Linked DNA regions of Saccharomyces cerevisiae S288C. The protein of the gene in region 1 purifies or fractionates together with the protein of each later gene. This does not show direct contact. Each region holds a gene or a part of one and is shown in the gene's direction. Other genes may lie near its edges.

Region 1 (3,131 bases):
TGGTGCCATTGGGAGAAGCCGTTGGGTTTGGCATTTTTTCTGGAGTATCTATAAAGGGAGGGTTTCTCCGTAAAGACATCGTCTCATGGGACATTACTGAGTCAATGCTTGATGCAAAAGATGATGATACCAGCATAGGGGAAGCCAAAGAAAAGAAGTAACAAATATTCCAAGCGCTCCAGTGTTACAGCTACTGCAAACCAAGAAAAGCAACTGACAAGAATTAGATATCCTAATCATAGGGCACCGAATTTACTTCCATGTTTTTTCCAGCTCCACTTAGAATATATATATAAATGTATAAAGACGGAAATATGCGCTTTTGAGAAATAGACAGAATAAAGAACGCACTGATGCAGCTTTAACTTTTAAGAAATGGTGCTTTTTTTTTCGCCCTCTGTTCCTCTGCGGATGGGAGCTATCAGTAGTAGAAAACAAAAGGAAACGAAGAAAAAAAATTGGAAAAGGGAAGAGTAAAACAGCGAGGAGAGCATTACGTACATAAAATAGGTTTAAGTAACCATACCACTAACAATGCCCCTAGGAAGTGACAATCTAGAGATATCCTTGAGAGTTAGCCACGGGCCGTAAGGGAAGGAAAAGACCAATCTAGCAATAAGCGCATGGGGGGTTTCCGACAGCCACTACCAAATTGTGTGGCAGCCAAGCGAGAATCAATGCGGCTATTTGAGATCTGTTCTTTTTCTATTCAAAGACTCGAATGAGGCCAACGAAAGAAGTAGTAAAAAAAATCCGGGATTCCCAATTCAGGTCATATCCGGCAAGACATTCCCGGATTTTATTTTCCTCAATGTGCTCGTGTAAGTGTCGGCCCGGAACTTGATTCCCCCCGGACTAATTAGAAGTTCCGAGAACGCGCGCAAGCCGTCCCGCGCGTAGAAGGCTAAAAAGCAGCCGGAGGAAAAAAAATAACGCAAATGTGGGCTCCCCTTCCCCTGTGCGGCCACGTCGTGCCTCCCCACCATTTGCCTCATATGCGGCCATTGCGTGTGGTGTTTTTTCTGCTCTTGTCACTGATTTTAACTACCGCGGGGTTTGACTAACAAGCAAATTGCAAAGCCGCGGCGGTTCCCGGAAAAAAAAAAAGGAAGGCCACGCTATTGGTAACCATGAAGTGTAAGGCGACGCAGGAGAGATGAAAAGAATGAAATTAAAAGAAATCCAAAAAAAAAAAAAAAAAAAAAAAAGAAAAAGAAAGAAAAAGGGGGAATAACACAGCCGCGGGTAACATGAAGCGGCGCGAGCGATACTTCCGTGTTAAGTGATATCCATCTTTCTGCGGGTAATAAGTCTAGTCAAGTCCGCTGTATTTTTTCTTTCGCTCTCGCTCTCTTTCTCTCTTCGCTCATGGAGCGGTAAAAAAAAAACATGCATATCGAGTCGAAGCCCAGCAAAATTAAAAAAAATATAGCCTTCAGTGGAAACCCAGTGATGCTCGCACACAACGTAATGGAGCATTGAAGAGCTACAGACGGTAGATAAAAAAGAAAAAGAAGCAATACAATAGGTTATTGCATACTATCATAAGCATACAGATAAAGGAGTTCTGCACATACGGTCCCTCTTTCTCTTCCTATTATTCTTCAGTCCCCTCCTCGCTCTTTTTAGATTCGACATTACAAGGTGAAATACTATTGAAGCTCAAAAACATCCATAATAAAAGGAACAATAACAATGGTATCTAGAGGCCCCGACGAATGGCTTGAAACAATAAAGAAATGCCAGGCGCTAACTGAAAACGAGATGAAACAACTGTGTGAAATGGTGAAAGAACTTTTGATGGAGGAAAGTAACATCCAGCCGGTACAGACCCCCGTTACTGTATGTGGAGACATACACGGCCAATTTCATGACTTGTTAGAGCTATTCCGTACGGCGGGTGGCTTTCCTGACGATATAAACTACATTTTTCTCGGTGATTACGTGGATCGTGGCTACTATAGTCTGGAAACTTTTACGCTTTTAATGTGTCTGAAAGTCAAGTACCCGGCAAAGATAACTTTGGTCAGAGGAAACCATGAGTCCAGACAAATTACTCAAGTTTACGGGTTCTACGAGGAATGCCTGAATAAGTACGGATCTACCACCGTATGGAAGTATTGCTGTCAAGTTTTTGATTTCCTGACGCTGGCCGCTATAATTGACGGTAAGATCTTATGTGTCCATGGAGGGTTATCTCCCGAGATTAGAATGCTCGATCAAATCAGAGTCTTGTCAAGAGCTCAAGAAGTGCCACACGAGGGTGGGTTCTCGGACCTGCTTTGGTCAGACCCTGACAATGTAGAGGCTTGGCAAGTTTCCCCTCGTGGTGCAGGATGGCTCTTTGGCAGTAAAGTTGCTAGAGAGTTTAACCACGTTAATGGACTGAACCTTATTGCCCGGGCTCACCAACTGGTTATGGAGGGGTTCAAGTACCATTTTCCTGAAAAGGACGTTGTAACCGTGTGGTCCGCGCCAAATTACTGTTATAGATGTGGTAATGTCGCGAGTGTAATGAAGGTCGATGAGGATCTGGAACCTACTTTCAAAATTTTCTCGGCTGTTCCCGATGACTACATAAGAGAATCCACGGCAAACCATAATAATCAAAGAGCCGGCTATTTCTTATAACACGACGGCATGCCCTCCCTAACTCGACGAATAAAAATAATTTTCACAATAAAAAAAAGACTACAAAAATCAGAAACTTTTTCATTACGCCATTTGCTACGATACGATACACAACAAGCACATTCTAAGAGCATTCCATTTACTATGGTCAAAATGACCAAATAAAAAATTAAAAAAAAAAAGAAGGAATGAGAACTAGTAACTACATATTCAACAATTGCAGTTTTCTTTTCCTTTTTGTCCTTGTCCTTTCTTTCCTATTTATATATATATATATATATATATATAATACTACTATGTTATATTACATTATATTATTATCACAATAATTATTACGTTCATCGTGCCGAAACGTCACCTCCCACGGTTTGGATCTATTGAAAGAGGGTGGAATCCCTGATAATAAAAAAACTTTAATCAACACTCGGGAGGGGAAATATAAAAGACTGGCGCTACTTAAAGAGCTGATTCGCCAAGGCAGAAAAGCATAACCATATTAA
Region 2 (3,758 bases), on another chromosome or scaffold:
GTTTCAAACCTTTTGAAGACTTGAACAAAGCGCCCGTGAGGGCCCCAGCGCCAATGGAGCCCGCGGTGTCATGTTTGCCTCTTAGTGCATCTATTGTAGAATTGATGATATTGTAGCTCAACGCGAGAATCCCCGCATTATTACCTAAGAAGGGACCTCTCTTAGTAATGTGATTCAGGACGGTGTTCAATTGCAATTTTCCGGGACTATTGGGCGGAATATTCTGCAGACCCTGCATCATACCAGAAAACCCTCCGATACCAAGTCCCAGCAGGTAGACGGCACCGGTACCGTAACATAGGTCATCGGTCCACCCACGGGAAGGGATCAGACCCTGTGAGCCTTCTAACGAGGATAGTTGTTCTTCTTCCAGATCTAAATACTCCACACCCTTGTCTAGACCAGCCAAAGGATGCAGCCTAGCGGTGTCGACATGCATTCCACCAGGACCTGATATTATGTTATTGATGTTTGGCTCGAAACCTAAACTCTGCTTCAACGATAGTTCCTTAGGCTTGGTTGTATCTTGGCCGCCCACGGCAGCATTCGCATCATCGGTAGGTGTCTTATCTCCAAAAAGCCACGACATGATTGTGTGTGATCTGTTAAACAAGTATACCTATATTATCTTGGTTATTTTTTTTTTTTCTATCTGCTTTTGTTAACGCTATAACGTGTAGTATGTACAGGCAAAGAGAGTAGAAGAGGAAAATGGTCTTTTTTTTTTTTTTTTCTGCAATGGAGGGCGAATGCAATAACCTATTATTTCTATTAATTAAACGCAACAAATGTTTCCCTTTTGCTCTACGTAAAGGTTCCTTTCTCTCTTTTTTTTGTCGGTGTCTTTTTTTTTTCAGTATTTTCTCTTTTTTTCAATGAATCGTCGATTTCCTTTTCTTCCTTTTGCGATTAAATTATTTTTACCCAGCTTTAGCAAGCCAGTTCGTACGCAGCGACTAGCAAACAGCCGGGTAACTCACATTTTGTTTGCACACTTAAAATACCCATACAGAACCATTATATATGTTGGGTTGAATTGGGACCTAATGTGCTGCTCAGGTGCCGCGTATATCATGACACTTATACTTGGTGGGGAATCGCCCGTCAGGCCTGAACGCAACGAACCCGCGCATGCATCGACGTCACAGTGAGCTCAGGCCGCATCACGGCCGTTACGCCCTCCAGAGTCACCACGACTGCGACTAGTATCATCCGTCAAGAAGAACAAGAACAAGAACAAGAACAAGAACAACAAACTCCGGGCACATCTCTCGGCTTCAGTCGCTTTCGCTCATTGCCTGTAGGTTGGCCCGATATGCGTTGACGTTATCCAAAGGGGAATGCTTCATCTTGTTGAACAACGCCCAACAATTTCCACTGCCCACCGAATCGTTGCGCCCGTTAAAATCTTCACATGGCCCGGCCGCGCGCGCGTTGTGCCAACAAGTCGCAGTCGAAATTCAACCGCTCATTGCCACTCTCTCTACTGCTTGGTGAACTAGGCTATACGCTCAATCAGCGCCAAGATATATAAGAAGAACAGCACTCCCAGTCGTATTCTGGCACAGTATAGCCTAGCACAATCACTGTCACAATTGTTATCGGTTCTACAATTGTTCTGCTCTCTTCAATTTTCCTTTCCTTATTCTACTCTTTTTATCCCTTTCGTACAGTTTACCTGAAGATAAAAAACAACAAAGCCAATTCCCTAATTTGCAATCGCCATTTGCATCTATATATATATATTTGTTGTGCCATTTTTTTATCCTCTGTGAGTGATCGGTGCATGTGTTTATAAAAGTTTATTCATTCTACTATACGAACTTTTCCCTCTGCCCTTCCCTCCCGCTTCATCCTTATTTTTGGACAATAAACTAGAGAACAATTTGAACTTGAATTGGAATTCAGATTCAGAGCAAGAGACAAGAAACTTCCCTTTTTCTTCTCCACATATTATTATTTATTCGTGTATTTTCTTTTAACGATACGATACGATACGACACGATACGATACGACACGCTACTATACTATACAAATATAATAGTATAATAACCGATTCGTCTTCTAGCTTAATTTTTTTCCGTTCCCGAAACAGCGCAGAAAATTAGAAAAAATCAAGTTTCTACCATGAGCGAAGAAAGCTTATTCGAGTCTTCTCCACAGAAGATGGAGTACGAAATTACAAACTACTCAGAAAGACATACAGAACTTCCAGGTCATTTCATTGGCCTCAATACAGTAGATAAACTAGAGGAGTCCCCGTTAAGGGACTTTGTTAAGAGTCACGGTGGTCACACGGTCATATCCAAGATCCTGATAGCAAATAATGGTATTGCCGCCGTGAAAGAAATTAGATCCGTCAGAAAATGGGCATACGAGACGTTCGGCGATGACAGAACCGTCCAATTCGTCGCCATGGCCACCCCAGAAGATCTGGAGGCCAACGCAGAATATATCCGTATGGCCGATCAATACATTGAAGTGCCAGGTGGTACTAATAATAACAACTACGCTAACGTAGACTTGATCGTAGACATCGCCGAAAGAGCAGACGTAGACGCCGTATGGGCTGGCTGGGGTCACGCCTCCGAGAATCCACTATTGCCTGAAAAATTGTCCCAGTCTAAGAGGAAAGTCATCTTTATTGGGCCTCCAGGTAACGCCATGAGGTCTTTAGGTGATAAAATCTCCTCTACCATTGTCGCTCAAAGTGCTAAAGTCCCATGTATTCCATGGTCTGGTACCGGTGTTGACACCGTTCACGTGGACGAGAAAACCGGTCTGGTCTCTGTCGACGATGACATCTATCAAAAGGGTTGTTGTACCTCTCCTGAAGATGGTTTACAAAAGGCCAAGCGTATTGGTTTTCCTGTCATGATTAAGGCATCCGAAGGTGGTGGTGGTAAAGGTATCAGACAAGTTGAACGTGAAGAAGATTTCATCGCTTTATACCACCAGGCAGCCAACGAAATTCCAGGCTCCCCCATTTTCATCATGAAGTTGGCCGGTAGAGCGCGTCACTTGGAAGTTCAACTGCTAGCAGATCAGTACGGTACAAATATTTCCTTGTTCGGTAGAGACTGTTCCGTTCAGAGACGTCATCAAAAAATTATCGAAGAAGCACCAGTTACAATTGCCAAGGCTGAAACATTTCACGAGATGGAAAAGGCTGCCGTCAGACTGGGGAAACTAGTCGGTTATGTCTCTGCCGGTACCGTGGAGTATCTATATTCTCATGATGATGGAAAATTCTACTTTTTAGAATTGAACCCAAGATTACAAGTCGAGCATCCAACAACGGAAATGGTCTCCGGTGTTAACTTACCTGCAGCTCAATTACAAATCGCTATGGGTATCCCTATGCATAGAATAAGTGACATTAGAACTTTATATGGTATGAATCCTCATTCTGCCTCAGAAATCGATTTCGAATTCAAAACTCAAGATGCCACCAAGAAACAAAGAAGACCTATTCCAAAGGGTCATTGTACCGCTTGTCGTATCACATCAGAAGATCCAAACGATGGATTCAAGCCATCGGGTGGTACTTTGCATGAACTAAACTTCCGTTCTTCCTCTAATGTTTGGGGTTACTTCTCCGTGGGTAACAATGGTAATATTCACTCCTTTTCGGACTCTCAGTTCGGCCATATTTTTGCTTTTGGTGAAAATAGACAAGCTTCCAGGAAACACATGGTTGTTGCCCTGAAGGAATTGTCCATTAGGGGTGATTTCAGAACTACTGTGGAATACTTGAT

What was found. The genes of interacting proteins can lie anywhere in the genome.
Region 2: the proteins of SIT4 (region 1) and ACC1 purify together in Saccharomyces cerevisiae (affinity purification with mass spectrometry; 4 studies listed by BioGRID). This does not show direct contact.

Annotation. Positions count from the first base shown.
Region 1 is NC_001136.10:368,076-371,206, forward strand, and holds SIT4 (type 2A-related serine/threonine-protein phosphatase SIT4), read left to right. Parts: upstream 1-1,695; coding exon 1,696-2,631; downstream 2,632-3,131. Other genes in the region: STP4 (Stp4p), read right to left, coding at 1-136. UniProt on the Saccharomyces cerevisiae protein: Involved in the dephosphorylation of the large subunit of RNA polymerase II. Is required in late G1 for normal G1 cyclin expression, bud initiation and expression of certain genes that are periodically expressed during late G1.
Region 2 is NC_001146.8:659,744-663,501, reverse strand, and holds the start of ACC1 (acetyl-CoA carboxylase ACC1), read left to right. Parts: upstream 1-2,127; coding exon 2,128-3,758. Other genes in the region: protein transporter TIM23, read right to left, coding at 1-589. UniProt on the Saccharomyces cerevisiae protein: Carries out three functions: biotin carboxyl carrier protein, biotin carboxylase and carboxyltransferase. Involved in the synthesis of very-long-chain fatty acid synthesis which is required to maintain a functional nuclear envelope.